2 linked regions of the Arabidopsis thaliana genome follow. The main gene of each other region encodes a partner of the protein of the gene in region 2 in a complex. Each region holds a gene or a part of one and is shown on either strand. Other genes may lie near its edges. A codon is read from its position in the direction of its gene.

What was found.
Region 1: the proteins of CPC (region 2) and EGL3 are in contact, whole or in part, in a crystal structure (PDB 7FDO), measured with the Arabidopsis thaliana proteins. Residues at the interface, in NP_182164.1 of Arabidopsis thaliana: Glu41 (codon at 3,915), Glu42 (codon at 3,912), Leu45 (codon at 3,903), Arg48 (codon at 3,894), Met49 (codon at 3,891), Lys51 (codon at 3,885), Leu52 (codon at 3,882), Val53 (codon at 3,879), Arg56 (codon at 3,870), Leu59 (codon at 3,348), Gly62 (codon at 3,339), Arg63 (codon at 3,336), Pro65 (codon at 3,330); in NP_001185302.1 of Arabidopsis thaliana: Tyr81 (codon at 7,486), Leu84 (codon at 7,477), Ser85 (codon at 7,474), Pro108 (codon at 7,405), Glu109 (codon at 7,402), Asp113 (codon at 7,390), Trp116 (codon at 7,381), Leu119 (codon at 7,372), Val120 (codon at 7,369), Ser123 (codon at 7,360), Phe124 (codon at 7,357), Ser153 (codon at 6,722), Leu160 (codon at 6,701), Leu161 (codon at 6,698), Lys163 (codon at 6,692), Ser164 (codon at 6,584).

What each region holds. Positions count from the first base shown.
Region 1 is NC_003070.9:23,595,276-23,607,722, reverse strand, and holds EGL3 (basic helix-loop-helix (bHLH) DNA-binding superfamily protein), read right to left. Parts: upstream 8,311-12,447; 5' UTR 8,073-8,310; exon of another isoform or gene 7,920-8,072; 5' UTR 7,915-7,919; coding exon 7,796-7,914; intron 7,608-7,795; coding exon 7,335-7,607; intron 6,787-7,334; coding exon 6,690-6,786; intron 6,585-6,689; coding exon 6,513-6,584; intron 6,431-6,512; coding exon 5,693-6,430; intron 5,572-5,692; coding exon 5,152-5,571; intron 5,061-5,151; coding exon 4,989-5,060; 3' UTR 4,559-4,988; downstream 1-4,558. Other genes in the region: TRM12 (hypothetical protein (DUF3741)), read left to right, coding at 1-196; AT1G63660 (GMP synthase (glutamine-hydrolyzing), putative / glutamine amidotransferase), read left to right, coding at 643-1,188, 1,821-2,071, 2,152-2,527, 2,619-2,750, 2,845-3,020, 3,473-3,596. UniProt on the Arabidopsis thaliana protein: Transcription activator, when associated with MYB75/PAP1, MYB90/PAP2 or TT2. Involved in epidermal cell fate specification. Negatively regulates stomata formation but promotes trichome formation.
Region 2 is NC_003071.7:19,046,078-19,056,296, forward strand, and holds CPC (Homeodomain-like superfamily protein), read right to left. Parts: upstream 4,293-10,219; 5' UTR 4,109-4,292; coding exon 4,030-4,108; intron 3,957-4,029; coding exon 3,869-3,956; intron 3,356-3,868; coding exon 3,238-3,355; 3' UTR 2,944-3,237; downstream 1-2,943. Other genes in the region: AT2G46420 (helicase with zinc finger protein), read left to right, coding at 8,814-8,828, 9,051-9,197, 9,291-9,396, 9,482-9,667, 9,764-9,929, 10,024-10,219. UniProt on the Arabidopsis thaliana protein: Transcription factor. Determines the fate of epidermal cell differentiation. Represses trichome development by lateral inhibition.

The sequences.
Region 1 (12,447 bases), on a different chromosome or scaffold from region 2:
CTCTGACTCTCCTACAAGATCATTGGATCAGATCATTGAAACTGATCTAATAAAGCCATGTCTTTGGTTGGATTTTGGTGGTGAATCTGAAGGTGTTGTGTCTGATATTGTGGAAAAGATTCAGCAACAATTGGTGCTTGAGATCTCTCATGAGCTAAGAACAATGCAGAGAAGCATATTATGTCGATTAATCTGAATCTCTTCGGAGATATTCAACTTTTTTTTTGTCTGTATAAAAAAGTTTATAATTTGAGAATCTACTCTTCATTTTTAGTTATCTAAATTAAGAAAGATTCGATCTTTTGATTCTTTCAGCCCCGAACATAGGCTGGTTCAAGTAAAAAGCTTCTAATTCATTGAAAAGGTTTTGACTTTTGACCAATTGAGATTTTGTATTGGATTTAGGGTTTTAGCAGCGGCCGGAAATTGTGGGCAAAAAGATTCGAACTTTTTTTCATTATCCCAAATATTAATGACAAAAGATCTCGGCTTTCTCGATTTTTGTGATTCAGACAATATTCACAAAACCCTAGTTGCTGCTCCTGCTCTGTTTTTATAAGCCTCCACTTCCCGCCAAGCCCCTCTTAGCCATAAACAGTGAAAAACCCTTTTGTTCCTTCACCAAGCTCTAAGACCCTATCCATGGAGACGCCGACGATGAAGCCTGATACGGTTTTGATTCTTGATTACGGCTCCCAATACACACATCTCATCACTCGCCGTATTCGTTCTCTCAACGTCTTCTCTCTCGTTATCAGTGGAACTTCATCGCTCAAATCAATCACTAGCTATAACCCACGAGTTGTTATCCTCTCCGGTGGTCCTCACTCTGTTCACGCGCTCGACGCGCCGAGTTTCCCCGAGGGGTTTATCGAATGGGCAGAGTCGAACGGTGTTTCTGTTTTGGGGATTTGCTATGGTTTGCAATTGATTGTGCAGAAGCTTGGTGGTGTTGTTGTGGAAGGAGAGAGCAAAGAGTATGGGAAAATGGAGATTGAAGTGAAAGGTAAATCTGAGATTTTTGGGTCAGAGAGTGGTGGTGAGAAGCAAATGGTTTGGATGAGTCATGGTGATGAAGCGGTTAAGCTTCCTGAAGGATTTGAAGTTGTGGCTCAGAGTGCTCAAGGAGCTGTTGCTGCTTTGGAGAGTCGGAAGAAGAAGATTTATGGATTGCAGTATCATCCTGAGGTATTGAAACTTGTAGTCTTTGTAGAATCTGAAACAAGTTGATGTAGTGTTTTTGGATGATAAAGTCTGGATCTTTAGCGTGTTAGCTGTTCATATCTTAATGAATCTGATGAGACTTGGGAGAACTTAGTTCATATTCTGTGACTCTCTAATAAGTGAAAAATGTGATACATTTCTTAATTCGGACTACTATTTGATTGACATAGCTATTTTATTGGTTGGTTAGTGTGATTCTAGAGGCTGAAGAATCTGATATGATTGTTGTTTGGATTGGGGTTTTAGTGGATTTTGGGTTTATGGATGATAAAGTCTGGATCTTTGGCATACTGGACTTTGGAGAATTTAGTTCATGTTCTGTGGCTCTCTCCTAAGTGAAATTTTTTTCTGAATCGTAACTAAGGACTTCAATTTTATTGACATAGCTATCTAATGGTAGGCTAGTTTGCTTCTATAGACTGGAGAATTTGATGTAGTATCATAGTTTGGATTGGATATTTAGTGAATATAGTACTTCTAGTTGATGTTTTGTTAGTCCATTGATTGAGAATTACTCGTGAACGTCTGTAAATGATGTGCTGGTTAAGTGTTGATTTCTAGCTTATGACGAAATAGCTTTTTGTTGGATTTTGCAGGTGACACATTCACCAAAAGGAATGGAGACACTTCGGCATTTCCTCTTTGATGTGTGTGGAGTATCTGCGGATTGGAAAATGGAAGATCTGATGGAAGAAGAGATCAAAGTGATTAACAAAACCGTTGCATCTGACGAACATGTCATTTGCGCCTTGTCAGGAGGTGTAGACTCTACTGTTGCCGCAACTCTTGTTCACAAGGCAATTGGAGATAGGCTTCATTGCATCTTTGTTGATAACGGGCTATTAAGGTTAGAGAAGAAGCAATTTTTCAATTTGATATGCACTTTTAATTTGTTTTTTCTTTAATTGAGAATGGTTCCTTTTGTAGGTATAAGGAGCAAGAACGTGTGATGGATACCTTTGAGAGAGACTTGCATCTACCTGTTACTTGTGTTGATGCATCCGAGCGGTTTTTGAGTGAACTTAAAGGCGTTGTGGATCCCGAGACAAAGAGAAAGATAATCGGGAGGGAGTTCATCAACATTTTTGATCAATTTGCCCAAGAGTTAGAGAAAAAGCATGGGAAGAAACCCGCTTTTCTAGTTCAAGGGACTCTGTACCCTGATGTGATTGAGTCGTGCCCTCCCCCGGGTACTGATAGGACTCATTCTCACACCATCAAAAGTCACCATAATGTTGGAGGACTCCCTAAAGACATGAAATTGAAGCTCATCGAACCCCTCAAGCTTCTCTTCAAAGATGAGGTGTGTTACTATTGTCTTTTTGCTATCTTTCTTGTCTGCAACTGTTGAGTGTTTGGTTTGTGATCTTTCACTTGATTTTTGTGCAATAAAGGTTCGTGAGCTCGGAAGAATCTTGAATGTGCCGGTAGGGTTCTTGAAGCGTCACCCATTCCCCGGTCCAGGACTCGCAGTTAGAGTCTTGGGCGATGTCACCCAAGGAAACGCCCTTGAGGTTCTTCGTCAGGCTAGTGCTCTAAAATCTCAAACTGGCTGTATAATTTTTTTGGTTGTGCCCTTACCCATTTACCAAACTCATCTTTATTTTCCCATCTTCTCAGGTTGATGAGATATTCATTCAATCAATCAGAGATGCGGGTCTCTATGATTCGATCTGGCAAGCTTTCGCAGTGTTCTTGCCTGTAAGATCAGTTGGAGTCCAAGGTGACAAGAGAACACATTCTCATGTTGTTGCTCTTCGTGCAGTTACAAGCCAAGATGGAATGACCGCAGATTGGTAAGCTTCTTACACTTCCTAGTACCGATGCATATAGAAACCCTTTTGATCGTGAACTTATTACTGTGTTGATGTGAATACTTGAGGTTTAGATCTACCATGTGGTATTTTAGGTCTGAGTACTTGGGTGGTTGAGATTTCAGGACAGATTAGCTTAGGTGTTGGAGTGTTTAAAGTCATGTATTTAGGTATCTAGGATGTCTAAAACCGGTTAAATAGATCGGATAGTAAAAGTTAAACAGTAATTACTTGCTGTGTTGCAATATTTAAGACTCGTTATCTGATCTGAGTACAAATAGAGGTACCTTGATTCTAAGGGATAACAAGTATGTGTATCAAATCTTACTTTTATTGGTGCAATTTTTGTTGACTAGAAAACTTGCGGTGCAAATGAAAACGCTAGTTTATATTGTGACTTTGGCTGAGATTGGTAATGTTTAAATAAACTGCAGGTTCAATTTTGAGCACAAGTTTCTGGACGATGTTTCCCGGAAAATCTGTAACAGCGTTCAAGGAGTAAACCGTGTGGTTCTAGACATTACATCAAAGCCTCCTTCAACCATCGAATGGGAATAAAGAAAACATATACTGAGTCTTTTATTTATGGGTGTCTGCAATTCTTCTACCATGTAAAATAGATTATCATCAAACAATGATGGTGAATTTGTGACGGTGCTTATTATTACTATTATTAGTAGACAATGGTTTTCTGATGAACTAGATGAGCAATGATGATGGTGATACAAATCATACCAAAAACTTGCATACAATTTGGGTGGATAATCGAAAAAGGGACTCAGTGCATTATTATCTACCTGTGTTTACACAATATAAGAGGCTTCATTATGTACTTAGATTACTGTGTTGTGCACTTCTACCTAAGCTTTATACATATTGCAGGTGAAAGTTTGCAACTACCATATTTACAAATGCTTCTTGTAGCCAGATTCATATAAGCAAAATCTGAGTTCAGATATGGCCGCGCTTATACAAGCTATAGTCATACTTCTACATACTAAATATCAAGGTTTACACACTATATACCGAGGCTAATACATGATATAAACCTCAACTTCACCAATTCATGGATCTTCTTAATGGCCACCTACCATGCCAACCAACCCATTAAAGAATTTCCACTCTTTTTAAGTTTCGTTCTAAATCAAGAAATTGTTCAACACAATTTCTAACCCCACATTATGTGTATTTTCAATAAAGTTAACCTCTTACTAAAATGAGAGTGTTACTTTGATGCTACCAAACGAAATCCAAATACAGTATAGTCCTTGTGCTTACAATTTTCTTCCTTTCTTTTTGAAATAAAAAGTTAATGTTAAAATGGTAACACATGTTGAAGTGAGATCTCAGTGGCGTTAGATGCAATTATTTGAAATGACATTACTTCTTTTCTCTATAAGGCAGTGTATTTTGCGAACACTTTTATCAGCTTTTGACCACCATTTCTATCTTTAACTTTTCTAAAAATATTTTTTTAATTTCTTACATAACTTTTCTAAAAACATATAAAGAATATTTGAAGTGAGATTGAAGACTTAAGATACTGGAATCGGGCTATGTAGTATCTCTTTAGATTTTACTATAATGTTTTTGGTCGAACTTGAACTAGTCACAAAATATGATCTCGTTACAAATACTTATACAAAAGTTACTTTCAACAACAAAAAAAAAGTTCTAGTTTACTTACTTTTAAAAATGATAGTGCACGAACTACTACGAGTGGTTTTCATATTTCGCATAATTGAATTTCATAGTATGCTAATTGCTAAGTAAGTAATTTCTTATTGTCTTCTCCTACGTAATGAGCCAAAAGGAACGATTTTTCAAGAATTCTTAAGGATCTTCCAAAACTTCAAAATCACAAAAACTCGGTTAGAATCACTGATTACCGAAAATTGGGAAACCAAACCAGAGAAAAAGCTAATTTTGTCAAATCTAAACCTTGAATCCTTAACATATCCATGCAACCCTTTGAAGTGCCTCTTGGATCATTCCTGTTGTTGCTATTTTTGTCCCTTTATGCTGCAATCAACATTAAACATTACATATCACATTTCGGTTTGCTCATATTCCGGTTGAGTAACATAAATCAAGCTTGGTTTAATGACTGTACCTTGCAATTGACAGTTAAGCAGAGTAAACCGTCTCCGGTTGACGACTGAACCGAGTGAGAATCCAAGTTGAGATCACTAATCACATCCATTATCTCAAGCAATATCCCTTCTCTCCAAGCGCATCTAAGCTCAATAACCACCTCGTTACCTAATGAACTGATCCTTAAGTTATCCGTTAGACCAGCATAACCGATATCAGCTGGTTCATCTTCTCCTACATTCACATCACTCCCCTTCCTTTTGCTGTTCATACAATTCGCTGATGCTCTTTCCTCCTCATCATCCGGTTTCTTCCTCTTCATCATCGTTATCCGTGTCTCTGTATCAGCAGATTCTCTACAAGATTCCAACTCTTGAACCCGTTTCTGTAAATCTTGAAGATACTCAATTGTATCATCAAGAATCGACACTTTATCAATCTGTAGAATCAGCAAGAGACTCAAGCTTAGTTCCTTCAGAGCATTATATTTAAACATGTCTTCCTATTATCAAGAAATAAACATAAAACGTTACTGAAACAGATTTGCTAGAATCGGTTACCTTACTAATTGAGGGAATGATTGATCTCAATGTCATAAACCGTTCATTCAATTTCTCGCGGCGTTTCTTCTCGGACAAGGCATGGTTCCCGGTTTCCTCTGGTGTGTCCGGTAACAACTCTTCTTTCTTGTTCATCAAAGGAACCTCGAAGAGTATCTTCTTTATCATCTTCTGCGATTTCTCTCCCAATGTTTTCACAGATGATGATCGCTTCCACCTTGTGAAGCTAGACCGCTTATCGAAGTTCTGAAACTGCGGTCCGAGTATTAGCTGATGCGTTGTTTTGAAAATCGTCGATATCACGCCTTGGTAATGAACATCGTCGTCCATATTTACATGGTTACTCTGTTCTTGAATCTGACCTAACCGTTGAATCCTACTCTTCCTTGGATCGCAAGCAAGTCTCCCGGTTGTTCCAACAAACGTTTGGGAAACGCAATCGCTTGAATTTAACGATTGGTGAATGCAGTTACTGATTTCTTCACCCACAAACTGCCAGCTTTGTACCTGAGACGCACCACCATCGTTGATGAACGAATCATGATCCTCAGGTTCTTGCTCAAACCCGCTAGTAGAAGTTGTTGGAAAAGCTTCGGTTATAAACACCGGAGTGTATTTATCGTCACTTAAGGGATCAAAAATTTCTTGATAGTCTGATCTTGTCGATATTGTAGTATATGGAGGAGCTTCAAGGAACAACGTCTTAACACTTTGTATCACGTTCATGTCCTCTTTAATCTAAAAGAACAAAAGATAAGTTTTGGGTACTTTTAAGAATGTTTTGATAGTGTTGGAAAAAAAATAGGAAATATAGGCTTACATGTTCGGTCGTGCCAATCTCAAGGACTCCTCCAAGAAACGGGAAGCAAACCACTGTCTGAAGCGAAGCACTCTTTAAAGAGCAAAACGCCAAACGAAAAAAAAAAAAAAAAAGAGCGTTTTCAGTTATAGCGTTCTTGAATTCTAGCGTTAGCGTTTCCAATTGCAAAAAACTTACTTTAGCTAGAAGAGAACGAGTGAAGACTTTGCTATCGGCGGTTTCAGCGTTACAAAGCCATATTGGTTCTCCATTGGATAACGCTCCTCCGGGGATTCTACATTAGAAAGACGGAAATACCCTTTATGTTTTGTATCTCAAAATCTTTATCTTAATGGGAACAAAAGTTTTCTACTACTTTCTTTGAATAGCAAATGTATAATGCAATTATGCAAATGAAGTAAAAACTTATTTCCGTTGTGCTTTCGCATTTCTATCTATGTATGTCTTCTAAGATTAAAAAGAGGTATACTTTAAAAAAACCTACAAACATAAAAAAAATTAAGTAAATATAAAGGATAATTGCATTGTTAATAATTAAACTCGTACATGTCGGATTTCTGAATAAGCTCACATGGAAGAAGAAATGAAGGAGACAAGCTAATAAAGGGTGTTCTTGTCTTTTTTTATGAGACAAAATAAAACATACCCTTATACTTTTTTTTTAGAATTTTGGTATCGTTTACATTTTCTTATAATGTCTACGAATAAAATAATACTATAATTTAAAAACGATATTCTTCATAAAAGAAATTTTTCTGAAAGATAGGTTTTTGTTTTTAAAAAAGGTGAAATGAAAGGATTATGAGGAAGAGACGGAATTACCCTTCACCGATGTTGAAGACGAAAGACATGCATACTAAGTAGTACCACTCGGTGTCGGTGAGGTCCTCCGGTGAGAGAGCGGCGGCGGAAGCTCGTCTAGTGACCTGAGAGCTACCGGAAGCTGAGGATTCAGCGAGGGAGAGAGATTCATAAAGCTCTCTAAGCTGCTCACTTCTCTCAAGACCTAACTGGTCAATTTTGACTTCTGCTGCTTGAATCGTCTTCCTTGTCTTTATGTCTCCATTGTAATATCCATCTCCCCACTCCAACACTCTTCGTTTAGAGAAAACAAAAAAGATAGCCAAGAAAAATTGGATTAATCGAGAAAACATAACAAAAATCGAAATCTTGAAGTAAGGATAAAGTTTTATCTGAGTTTTGGACTAAAGTCAAGAATGTCTCAAACAAAACTTTATTTTCAAGAAAAGTTAATTTGAAGGATAAAGATTACGAGATTGTACCCTGGTTGAGAAGCAGAGACAGACCAGAAGATTCCATAACTCCATTGAATGTTTCGAACTGAAACTGCGAGCTGTTTCTTTAGATTGTCCGGCACCGTTCTGTTTTCTCCGGTTGCCATTGTTTCTTCATCCCCATGTAACAAACAAACGAACAAACAAAGATCAGATTTTTTGTCAAAAACAAAACTTTGTTGTCTTTGAATAAATCAAAAGAGAAACAGAAAAAAAGCAGAAGTGATTTAAAGGTTATGACTAGTCATGAGTTAGTGATTTTTACATGACATTGGTTTGGTTTCCTGAGGAAGAAAGAAGAAGACAACAAAACCCAGAATATATTTATTTTTTTTAACCTTCTATAATGGGAAAATATTAAATATTTGTGACTTTCAAGTTACTATCTGTTGTGGTTGAATTGAGCTTTGAGTTGAGAGAAAAGGACGGTGTCCGAATGACCAAATCTCTTTATGGATACTTATTTTAGGTGTGTGTACACTGTATATAATCACAAAACACTGAACTTTACGAGGAATTTTAAATAAATATATATAAAACAAGATGGTAAAAAAAAAAAAAAGTAGTGTCTAGTGTATAACCCTTTTGAATACGGTGTTCCAAGCACCACTCTCCTTTTGGAAATTTATTTTTGTTAAGAGAAATTAGTTATTTTTCCATCTCTAAAATCTTTTTTCTATCAATGATATGTCCTATTCTCTACGTTTCATGATAAACGATGTTCTGAAGAAATTTGTTTGTTTCACAATATAAAATATTTTCAAGTTTTTATGTAAATTATAGATTAATTTAATATTGTATACATATTTATATTATGCATCAGCTTTTATAATCTGCTGAATTTTTTAAAAAATATTTTTTAATTTTTATATTTTTAATTAAAACATCTTATATTTTGATTTTTTAATTTTTATATTTTTATTTAAAACATCTTATATTTTGAAACGGAGGAAATAACTTTTTTTAGTAACTCATAATATAGGTCTTTAGACTTTAAGCAGAGTTTGAACCAAAAAAAAAATTCATAGGCATAACACTTACAAATCCAACCAAACCAATTTGCCACCCTTATAAGCAATGTTTATATGTTACTGCCTTACTGGTCAAATATATACACAAATATTAACTTGATTTTAAGATAGAACAAATCCTAATGGTGAAACACGAAGAAAGACATGAAATTAATGTTATGCCTCGAGGAGATACCCTGGAGAGAGAGACAAGCTTCTAGTATTGACTAAATTACGTTGTATGGTTTAACTAAAATATAATATATACTATGTTCATTGAATATATATATTCTACATTGTTTTCGAATCTTCGGAAATACCATAGAACATTTGTATAATTGCTAATTAATTTTCTATGCACCTTCATTTTAATTAATCGCAACCTCGTAAATTATTTGTATTAAAGATGCGTACACGAGCCAATTATATATGGAGTTAGACAATAAGGTTATCAAGAACGAGTGAATTTGGGATCTAAAGATAATGTAAGGTTTAGTATTCTTCCTTGACTTCAATTCTAAGGTAAGGGATTGATAATGGGTTTAGCTATGTAACAACCTATGTTGATCAAAATCACGAGAAAATGATATTTAAATGAGATGATTAATAAAGAAGAAACCAAGAGTCATTATTATCATATGCTATGTGCATGCTCTTAATTAATTCTTCGCATCTCCCAAAATTATCACCCCTAACTAGGACTACTTGTCGTGTCTGTACGTTGAAAAACGGAGTCAGATATTGTTTATTTCATGTACTAACTGTATGATTCATAAAACATAATAACCTGATAAATGAAGATTTGTACATTTATATCAACGTGAACGTCTGTGTTTTCAGTAATTTCTTAAATAGTTTTTCTTTGCTGATTATTTTTTTCGTTACTTTCCTAAAAGATATGTCATCTAGTTACACTGTGGTCATCGTGAACACACGCAAACATTAGATTCTGTAGCCTATAGTCTCCGGCTCTCAGCTCAAAAAGGGTCATTTTGACTTTTGCTTAATATATATAATTTGACTATAAAAATGTAGTGAAATACTACAATTCTGGACAGTACTTCTAATGCATTGGACAAAAAACAAAAAAACAAAAAAACAAACTAAATATACACCTCATTTTGTTACACATATGACATATTAACCATTAGCTAGTACACAACTAATAAATCTTTCATTATAATATCTAACGCCGCAGATGATGATGCATTGTTTTATCGAGACTGAAAATATAAATAAATTCTTCACACAATAGAAATAAAAACAAAATATTGAAAAAGTAAAATGAAAGAGATGCTCGCATTAATTGCACGGAACAGAGTCTACTGTTGATAAAAAAAAAAAAGAGTGATCGAACAGTCCATTTTTTGGGGTCCAGTTTATTTAATTTAGCATTAATAACTTTGTCAGCGCGAGCCACTCTCTATGATTTTGATTCCATCATAAATTATAAAACCAACCAAAATTCATATCTAAATTAATTCCTTTAACCCATTCAATAAGCTTTGCTTATAATTCTGAGACCTGTATAAATTCGAATTATTGAAAGTGCCTAAGAATTCAGAGTCACTTTGAATGGGACCTCTCACGTAATGCCTGTATGTTGGATCTTCTGTCATTGTCTTATATATATTGTCTTTTTCCATCATAAAATAGATTGTCTTTTTACGTATACGTACACAAACAATAGATTTCCATTTGAATTCACATATTACATATATATATATATATATACGTGTTTAACTTAGATTCTATTCAGTAGTTTCGGATTTTTAGCTATGTTCCATCAACCAAACATTTTGATTTACGGTAGTTAGATAAAATTGACACACACACACACAAAAAAAAAACAAGAAACTGATCAAAATATGAAAATGTAAGCACAATGTAACTAAAATTCGTTTATACGTCTAAAACAAGCAATAGATACTAAAATACAACTTGTTCGTTATCAAATGTTTTTTTTGCATAAGAGATATATGCAACTATTTAATTAACTCAATCTTTTTCACTAGAATGAATTAAGGATATTGAAAAACAGCTAGGTACGTAGTCAGGGTTGTTTGACAAATTGAATTCCGTTAAAATTATTGACCACGTGTATGGTCATAAACAAATTATGAATTCATGATTCGATCAATATTACGACCTACTACATATGATATGATGTTGTAATTAACCACATTCTCTTGCTTTTTATCTCATTAAAATTTATTTATTTTAATTCATTATTTTATACCACCACTATTTTCCACGTTCTATGGATGATCATAGTGGAGCCACGCATGAACATGGCAAAAATAGAAATATGCACATGGCAATATATATACACTATCTACGTATGTGTCAATCAGGGCAATCCAACTTTGTTGTGGTATAAACTCTAAGCTCGAACAGATCCGAAGATATTCTTTCGTTCTCTGACCTGATTAATGATCACGAAGCTAAAATTGATTATCTTTTATTTTTGTTTATAAATTATTAGTTATCCTTAATCTGAAATCATTTTAACAAAAATTTTACTGAATTTAATCATAAAAATAGGCTTATGTATAAGCTAACACATATTTTCCAATGTCCATTATTATTTAATGGTGGAATTCGATGTTTAACGATATGATTCAAGTTATAAAAAAACCGAATTAAGTATCTATTTGTTTCTATAATAAAATTCTGAAATCCAACATCTCTAAACTATATACTGCATTATATAATAAACAGATCATATTTATTTGAATAGAGTAGCTAAGATTAGGCATACTAGTTCAAATGTTTGATGGACATCCGATCCAGTTAGTCCGGGCCTTCAATATTTGGGCTCAAATGGGCCGAAACTATATTGGGTCGTATATGAAAAGTTGAAATATCTCCAAACTGAATTTTGGATGGGAAAAAGCGGGAAGTCGAGAGAGTACCTTATTTCTAATTTTCTATAACGAGGGTAGGGCCCACCAAGACCATATAGCGTAAAGCAAAATCAAAATCAAACAATTAGGAAAAAAACATAATTTTCTCTTTTTTCGAAATTCGAACCGTAATTAGCCTTTTGTTTTTCTTGGAATCTAAAAGAAATAAAAGAGAGGAAAAAAAGGAGGAACAGTGAGCAAAATCGTGCGACTGGGAAAAATTTCGAATTTTTTTCTCTTCCGGCGAGGGATTCAAACTTCCGCCTCCAATTTCTCGCCGTGAATCTGAGTTTTTTTTTTCCGTAGCATTTCAATAGGAGCAGTCTTCATTCTCCGTCGTCTACACTATAGAGAGGTTTATCTACAAGCTTCTTCTTCTCCTTATGGCGTTTTAGGTTCGTATCGTTTTTTTTTTTTTTGGCCTTCGTCTCTGTGTTACAAAAGCGTTGTTGGCTTCTTAGGGTTTTTGACTGGATCTGCGTGATTTTGGTGGAATATAGAGCTGATTTTATGGGTTGATTTGGTCGACATTGTGGATATTTGCTAAGCGAGATGTTGAAATGTTTGAACAAACTTCATCATTGTTTACAATTTAAAGCAAATTTTGGCTGTTTATCTCTTTAATTGGGGAACTAGTCTTATCTGAAATTGAAAGCATTTGATAGGTATTTTACCATATGAGGATTTGGTGTAGAATGATGAAGTAAGGTCTTTCATGATTTAA
Region 2 (10,219 bases):
ATTTAATAAAATTTAAAACAGTGATTTTATAAAGTAATACTATATTAAGTCATAATTAGTAAACAAAAAAAAGAATTTAAAGGAATACAAACTGTTTTATTATTTATTAATAATGATATACTCCGTATCATAACGATTTACCTTAAAAATCGTAAAATGAAATTTTTAATCATGGCGCTTACATCCATGATTAATGGCAGAGCATCGTGGCCATTATGTATTCAAATTTTGTTCGTCGAACAAACAAATTTTGTGTGAATTTAGATGAAATCTAACCTTATGCATTTGCCATATTCATCGTACTGAATTCTTCAGTTTAAAAATTGTGAATATCGTAGATAATATATTGATATATCCACGTTACTGTAGTACTATATCCTATGTTTCTCAGTTATCAACTTTGTAGCTTTCTGACTCCAAATTAATATATTTTAGAGGCTGCTGTGCTGAGTCGAACTTAATTAATTCCTTAATACTAGTAGAAAAATAATATAAATTCTTTTGAAGATAAATATTTATTCTACGACGCGTCGCTTGTTTAACGCGTCTGGTCAAGGGAATAATTTATGACTAAAACTAAATTCAGTAAAATGCCCGAGTGGCGTATATACATGCACATGCCTTTTGTGATAAAAATAATAGCTTTAATCACACTTAGTAAATAATTATTCAAGCATGTATGGACTATCTATGATTAATTAGTGCCATAAGGGTTTATTATCTTAATTTGGGCTGCTCTTAGCTTGCTTTGAATTGATAACAACTAACGATTATAAATTGAACAATATGTTTTCAACTTCTTCTCAAATCAAATGATGTCTTATCATCTGCTTTTGTTTATGTAAAGAACATTCCCTTGTTAATGCATGCATTAGTCCACCGTTACCAGAATGGTCTTTAACTTATTTACATCGGCTAGATATCAACATCGAAATGATAAGATCATAGCTTGACGAAAAACTCAAGAAAGACGATTAACACTTAACAGAATGCTGTCAAATGAGAGCAGTTGTTATTACCTTCATGTCCAACCATAATTTAATAAGATTATCTTGTATTAACAGGATTGTGGTGTAAATGCTTTAGAGCAAAATACAAAAAAAAAACATCAAAATTATAACTCCGTACATGTTATGGTATCGTAAGGAAAGAAAACTTTCAAACACAATATCTTCTTATCGATGGGATGGATAAACGTTATTGAAACTTTTGGAATATTTACCAAAATAAACCTACACCGATGAAATATTCTTTGAACAAAAATAAAAATCTACATTTAGTTTTGGAAACTGTCTGGTAATTTCCACGAAAGGTCTTTGGACTTTGGGTGCGTGTTGAAAAAGATATAACTCTCCTTATACAGAGACCCACATGTCACTTCATATGCTGATTAAATTTAATTTGTACAATAAAATTACTTTTGAGACTAATAAAAACTCTTACGCCTTAATAGAATTTAATTAAGGGTATTTAGTAAGTTACATCTACATGTGAATTTGTTGAAATTACTGGTCTTGATTGATATTCTCTGTTTCAATTTAAGCGTCATTTCAGAATTTGAAATATGTTTATAAAAAGTGTCATTTTAAGCTGTTTAACTGTCATTTATGTTTCAATGCATGTATTTGATAAAATTTCTATTTTTTGTTTTTACTGTTTTAGTATGTTGGCCAATGAAAATTTTATAGAATAAATTCATAAAATAAAAATAAAAATAGAATTATTTTCTTAGGTTATGTGATGAAAAACACTTTAAATAATACTCAATTTGACAAGATAGTAGTGTCTGGGACCATACAGGACAGATAGAAAACAATCATTTTTTTGTTAAATAGATTTTTAAGATAAGCTAAGTACCAAAAAACACATTGAAACCAAACAGCATATGAGTTTGAATTTGTTTGGTACTGGAAGAGTTTATATAGAAATTAAGCTCATATTTCAGCCAAATGCAATTGAAAAAAATCAAAGTGTTAGTCACGCCAAGTGTGAACGCAGAAAGTCCTGTTAGATGATAAGCACGTGTGAAAACATCTTAACACTTTCATTGTATTTGTCTTTTAGATTAAAGTTGTCGGATTTCTCAGCGTTGCTATGCGCAAGAAAAAAAAATCTTGGCCACAAACTTAGTTAATACTGTAGCATATGGATATATGTAGTTTGCAATTGCATGTGTAACGGGGGAGATAAAATGATAATAAACAATGAGAGATCAGGGAATTTTTGGAACTAATCGTAAATTTTACCACGTCATTAATCGTATAGTTTTGAATCTTTATATTCAATCCAAAGAATTAAAAAGGATGGGCACAAAGGGTAGATATATATGCTTCCTTGATTGAATAAAAGGAAACTTTGCATTTTATATATTCGATGACGCTACTGAATCTTTATTTTCTTTAGTGAATACAAGAGAATGAAACAATGTTACAACAGAGGAACAACAATTAATATCATATGGGATGATCCCTAATTCCGCTTCATTACCAACAAATTTTTTTAGCATTGGGATGGATAATTCGTAATGATCGTGGTATTTTTTTTGGCAGGTAACAGAAGCTATTCAAAAATAAGCAAGCAAAACAAAAAATAATAACAGTTGCATACACTTGCATTAGGCCACACATACAGTGAAACGGTATGATTGTTTTAAACCAAATATCTAAACGGCATGCATGTGTCTCTACTGTTGTAAAATCGTTGACCGTGGAAACATTTTATCTTAAAAGTCTCAACTTAATAATGGGCTTTCTTTATGGCCCATATAAATGAGCTACCTCGTTGACCCATATCGTAGGCCACTTACAGATTCTCATTTCCGATCACGAAAAAATAAACCATCTTGGGTTCAGTTTAAGCATTCCCCTATGCAGAAGAAATAAGAGAGACCTTTCACCTTTGTTTGTTTGTATGAAAGAACAACAGTAATTTTTTTTTGGATAAAATAGCGAACATAGTTAAATTTAAAATTTACAGTCGATCTTAGGAAAACAGACTTTAGAAAAGTGTGATTTATCTCATTAAATCACAGCTACTAATACTATACTTCTATAGAGGGATATATCATGTGTCGATGGAGGCTGGTAAAAATTTGAAATTCCTAAGCAATTTTTTCTTCTTATATATATAGATAATTATACATTCCAAAATAGTAATTCAAGGACAGGTACATTTCCTTTTTTTCTTGTCTTGTGAATTAAGGAGAGGAAAATTTTCTTTTAATCCAAACAAAAAAAATCATTTCCTAAAAAAGTCTCTTCGTCTGTTGGCAAAAACGACGCCGTGTTTCATAAGCCAATATCTCTCTATCTCCTCCGGCGTCCGTCCCGGGATCCTTCCGGCGATCAACTCCCACCTACGCGCCACGTAGGATAGGCTAACAGTCAGTGTTGAGGAACTTACACTTAACCAAATACCTTTTATTCCGATAAAAACCGCATAAAGTTTGTAATTCGGTTAAAATTCTATGGAACCGAACCAAAATCGTAATTTACACTTTGACTTCATACAAACATGCTGTAATCAAAATTGAACCAAACTAGCCAAAGTGAGTTCTGACATAAATTAAGAATATGTTTTGCTAAAGAATCATATATAAAAAAAGAAACTGAAAACGAAATCTTGATTAGGTTTTGCTATTTGAACAACTAAAACAAAAAACAGAGAATAATAACAAGATCAAAAATCAGGCTGAACACAGTCATTGACAGCTCGGTAAGTTAGACCCAATAATATAATAGAAAAACCAAGAAAATGCATAAATAAACGACCGACTTTGAGATCAAAATCTAAGCAGATTCGACAAAACATGAAAGACCAAAAAAAAGAGAAAGCAACAAGATGGATCGAGAGAGAAAGAGTCTCTAACCTGTCGCCAACGAGTTTATACATCCGAGAAATGAGATCTTCTTCTTCTTCTGACATCTTCACAGCTTCCCATTCGATACTACTCACCTCTGCGAAACAAACATACAAAATCAGACTCAAACCGATCAAAAAGATATAGAGAGAAACAAAGAGAAATCAGACCTTCGGAACAAGAAGCCTTGGCTTTGCTCTGTCTCCGTCGTCGTTTATCCATTTTTTCCGCCTTGTCTGAACGAAACATCGAACTAATCTGAAGACACGAAACACACAGAGAAAGAGAGAGAGAAAGAGAATAAATCTCGAGAAACAAGAAGAAATGATTTCCTCACGAGGGGAAGGATTAATAGTAGCTTTTTTTTTGTTGGGTTCTCGGAAAAGAAAAGAGTGAGAGAGAGAGGGGCTCGAAAAGGAAAAGAAAATCAAACTGATTATTATATAACTGCGCATGTCTGATTAATCCTAGAATAATTATTTATTTAATACTTATCATCATCCTCCATTATTTAAATATTGACTGATTAAGAAATAATATAATTCGATTGAGCTAAAGAAAACGAATCTGTAAACTGTAGTGTTTCACTGTGTGTGTGTGTGTGTTGCTTCCAACGGCCTTTAGTTCATAGAGAAAGAAGAACGACAGATACAACCATAACTACTTATTTTAAATCCTTTGACTTGCGGTTGTAAAAATTCCTCGTTTACAGACAGTTGGAGAAATAGTAGCTTCTCCTCTGGCTTTGACTTTCGAAATGACCAGTATGTCCCTTATATGTGTTCTTGTTTCTAGTTTATTTGCTATTCTACATTAAATATACATTCTGTCAAAGCTACTTATTTAAAAATATAACTATTCAACAATAACAAAAAAATTCATTTGTTGCAAGAGAAAACAAATAAGGACTGTGATATAAAGTTCAGGAATTCGATTTGAAAGTTTGATATAAGAGGAAAGTTTGGTAGAAGAGAACAGCAAAACGGGAAAATAATATTATAATCAGAAGAGGGTAAAAAAAGAAATAGTTAGTTCGAGAACATATCTCTCTCTATGTATCTTTCATATATTCCTTTGGTCTGATGGTAATGTCGTCAAAAGTGGGCACAACACCCGTATGGTTGTGTGCCTCTACTGGTCCGATGTGGTCCGAAAACGTACTTGTTTTTCTTCATTAATTATATATTTTTGATTACAAATATGCTTTAACCACATCTCGAGACCGGTTTCATTACATATTTCAAGGTTTCATCTATTCATTTTTATATCACAAATGGAATTTTTGACTAAATGGAGTGAGACGAAAGAGCAAAGAAGCACATTTGTTGTATACAAAGCTTTGACTCGCAAAAAAAAAGGCATGAATCAGACAAGTATCTAACAACAATTATTTATGACATGTGGTGGTTAAAGCTATTTAATAACCCAAAAAGACTTCGAAGAATATATGAGATTAGCCCCCCTTTTTTCATTTTCTTAAAAAGATTTGTATAAGATCTGCAGTGCGAAGGTGAGATACGTCTATATATTCTATAAGATGAATAGCTGCTCTAGCTACTTTTTTTGTGTGGTACATGTTATGATAAATTGAAAACGTTTAATCTATGCATTTTTAAGTACATGATCTAACAGTTTATAGAGATAAGTTGCATGTTTTCGTACATTATATGCTAATGAAAACAGTTATGTTGAATGTTAGTTGCTGCATGTTGTTGTATGGGTTTTTTCATGACGAAGTGGTTAAAGCGTTATATGTTGCCCTAATAAGCCATGGGCCTATTCAAAAACAATATGGGCTTATTGATTATTTTAAATTGCTATCGGCCAGCTTGAGCAGTTACTTGAAAAGGCCCATGAATGTTTACGGAGAGTACAACACGTTGACACGCACAACAACAGAAAAAGAAAACACAAAAGCTTATCAATCAATCAAATCTTTAATTATATTATTTGGTCGGTTTAAGAAGTGTTTACGTGGTTATCAACATTAACTTTTGAATTGAATTATACGAAACGGCAAAAAGATTATCAAAAGTGTTGACTTGTGAGCTACCGTTTTTGCCCCTTAAAAGTCTCAAATTCCAAGGCGATAAATGGTCAAGCACCCTCCACGCTCCTCCTGTCTTTTATTGCCACGTGTCTACCACCGTTCCCGTCTGAATTTGTCAGCATCTGTATGCCACGCGGCGGCCAGTTTCCCCGACGTTAATTTCTCCGGTAATTATCACACGTGTCGTGTAGTCAATGGATATTAACTTCGAGCTTATTTTATGGAGTTTTTAATTGTTTTCAATTAGCGTTTTTTTCTCATTGGTGGGTCCACAGATTAATGGAACTAACGAAATATAATTGGTGAATGAAAATGTCTGTTTCATTGAATTCATGCGTTTCTATTAAAGAAGTCACAGTTTTTAAAATGGGTTCACGTGGTCGAGTACTTAGCTCGTGAGCCGGCTTCAGTGTCCATAGTGTATTACTCAGCTTTGTAACAACATTATTAGAGAGAATAATTCACTTTCATTGTATAAATGACAAAAACAATTAATACCAACTTGTTTTGATAATTACAAAGTAACAAAATAGAAGCATTCAGAGTTTTGAAGTTATATATTCATTTGAAATGTCTTGAAAAAAGTTATATGTCTTTCTTTGACAAAACAAAATTCAGTAAATTTCAATCAATTATATATTTTTAAAAGTACTATACGCACACAATTCTTTATACAACGACAAAAAGAAATTTTACATCTAAAAATTTCGTATATAGATAAATTAACACGTTTGTAAAATATTGAATAAATATTATTTTGTCACTATATACACAGTAATCACATGTAATAAATTAAAATCAATCGATATGTTTCGTTAGATCTCTCAATAGATAATTATTGATATAAACTAGTACGAAAATAACATAACATACACAGTTACACATACATAAACATATAATATTTGTACCAAAATTATTAAGAAAAAGAAATTTAAAGCTCTCAATCAAGAGATTTTGTATGATATGAAATATTCTTCTGATTTTTGAACCATTTTGCATTAGAGAAAAGTAAATAAAACTAAAGTGGTCCTGGAAACATAAAAAAATAAAATAAAAATAGAGAAAGAAAGAGATGCTATTCCTGGAGACTGAGAGTACAGTGGAGGTCCATGACATCTCGTAACACCCAACAACACTCAACAACTTGCCAAATTAGCTTTCACTAGCTGTTGTTATACATTCATTTCTTAATTTAAATTGGAATATCATAAATAACACCTTATAACATTATAACCAAAGCATAAACTACATGCATATATTCTTAGAAGACATTAACTTTTTAATTAATTTCCGATTATAGTGTGATTACGCTCCTTGCAAATACTCTACAAGCTATGAAAGTAAAAAGGTATTGGCTACTTTCACCGCCGCTACTATATCTCGTGAGTCGTGAGTGAAGCCAAGCCAGGCTATTATTAAGTTGTGTACTACTCATTCCGTAAAAACCAAACTGAAACAGAACTATTCCTTTTATAGTTAAACACCGAATTTAATTCTAAACTCAATCGTATTAAATGAGAAACGTACCATTACTTTAAAACTCAAACTGAAACTAAACTAAAAATCCGGTAAAAGTTCTTTTACTCATATCATTGGAAATAGTTTTTGAAGCAAAGTAAAAAACACTAGAATAGTGTAACTAGAAGGAACTACTAATATAAATTTTGGTTGCTGGTGAGATTCTTTTTCCTCCTTCCCCAGCGGACGTCTCCGTCTCTTCTTCTGCTTCTAACTTGCTCCAAATTTTCATTTCAATTTTTTTGATAGGACTTAAAAATTCCAAGCTCGCTTATGAGAGTAATGGCGTAGCAAAATCTTTATCTAACTCTTGGCTCTTGTCTTTTTTTGTTTGTTTCTCAACCTACGCCGGATCTTGCTTCTTCGAACTTCTCCGACGCATCTTCTTCAGATTCCGCAGAAGTTTGCGTCGTTTTCTTGAATCCACTCAAAATTTTATTGGAAGTTTGTGTTGTTTTTACTAGCTCTGAATCTTTAGAGGGCTCAAAAATTCGTCGAGAAAACCAGTCTTTGGAAGTGTAGCATTTTGGATTCGCTTGTGACTTGAATCTTGAATATTAGGTGAAACCGCCTTGGATCTTCTCGTTGATCTTTGTCGTGGACATTTTTTTTTGTAAAGCTTAGTAGATTCTCTAATATTTAATTAGAGAGTATCTGTTCGTGTTATTCTTTATTGTTAGATAATGATTAATCACTGCACACAATCTTATTGAATTTTCCTGTTGCTTTTCTCGGCTTGAATTCTGAAGAAGTAGTTAGAGAGATGGCTTTGCTATATACTCTTGCTAGATCTGTTTGATTTCTTAGATTCCTGATTTAACGATTTCCTTCTAATTTGATTATCCAAAATCTAGAAATGGTAAAAGTTTCTTGAGTTAAGGTTCATTTATTTTACATTTGACTGTAGTTTTTTTGTGTGATTTAGATGCAGACAGGACCATGTTGTGTTTTGGATTACTTGAGAGATTTACTATCTCAATAGTTCATTTCATCGTACATAATTTTTTTTTGTGAACTTGTTTAATAGGAATGATGATGAACTATTCTTGTTTTGTGTGTATAGTTTGAAGATGGTAACTTTATGAATTAATTATTTATTACTTATTAGATTCTGCAGTTGCGTCTTCTTGATTCCTAATAAACAATGTTAAAGAACACACTTTTCATGCTTCCTATCATTAGAAGTGTCAAAGATGCTGCTCTTTTTTAATCATTTTTCTTCTTACCTGCTGTATTAACAATTTACGTATATCCAGGTTTCTATTTGGTCAACAACATCAGAAACATGTGTGCTCAGATGTTGAGCTCTTTAGATTCAATTGTTGTGAACATTGTCAAGGAGAATAGTGATTATTGAAGGATGCAAGATTTTTATATTCAGCTCTAATGAAGAACGGACAGGTTTGTCCCTAACACATCCTCACCAACTTTTTCCTTATTGTTATAATCTTGCTTTCGTATACTTAGATAAGAAGTTGAGCCATGATAGAAACTTCATTATTAAGAATACGTGATCCTTTAGTTATTGGTATGCTTGATTGGAAAGAAAGTTGTAGCTACTTTAGCATTGATATACTTAGATTTACCAAGAAGTGAAGAAGTAAAAGAGAGTTTGTATAACAGGAGTTGCAGTCTTCTACCCAAGTTTCACATGAGTCCCAAGGTGAACAGAAAGTTAATTTATCAGTAGAAGCTCCAATACAAGATTCTGGTTCTGTATCTGCCTCAAGTAATGACGGTAGGAAAGTGTCAAGACAAGATATTGAACTTGTAAGAACACTTTGCCACCTTCCTATCTTTATAGACTTTCTTGTAAGTTTCCAATCATCTGATAAAAAAACATATTCTAAATGACTGATGCAGGTCCAAAATTTGATAGAAAGATGTCTCCAGTTGTACATGAGCAGAGATGAGGTCGTAAAGACACTCTTGACCCGTGCAAGGATTGACCCTGGTTTTACAACATTAGGTACAATCACTTTTGTTTATTTCCATATCAAAGTAACATTGTGTTAGTAACTTACCCTTTATGATAACGTTCTTTTGAATTTTAGTATGGCAAAAACTGGAAGAAGAAAACGCAGAGTTTTTCAGGGCATATTACATCAGACTGAAACTGAAGAAGCAAATAGTTGTATTCAATCATTTGCTTGAGCATCAGTATCACCTCACGAAGTATAATGTACATTCAAAAGTTCCTCTGGTCCCAATGCAGAACGGTATTCATCCTATGGCATCTGGTAAGTCTGACTCCTTATATCACTTGTTGGTGTAGATGGTTCAATGATTTGTTTGTGGTTTCACTATTATTATAACACTAAATGTTTGCAGCGCAGTGAACAACATGCCCATGGGATACCCAGTACTACAACATCCTCAGATGCATGCTCAAGGTCATCCCCATCTTGATCCTATGAGCTGTGGAATGTCAAGCTGCCATGTGGTTAATGGAGTCCCTGCACCTGCTAATTTCCAACCAATGAGGATCAACTCAGGGAATGAGTAAGAACTAACTTGGATTGAGTTTTGTTTTTGCATTTTTGGTGCTTTAGACTTAAGAACTAATTCCTACTGTTGTTTCCGGTGCTTGGTGTAGTATGGTAATAGATACAACCATGGCTGAACCAACTCCAATGATTCCACCAAATAGTGGTATGTCGGATATGCCAGTAAGTCCAGCTTCTGTGGCGTCAAGCGGACACTTTCCATTTGCTGCTTCAGACATGTCAGGGATGGGAATGGACACGTCAGCTCTTGACTCTGCTTTCACATCTGATGTCGGAACTTCAGTA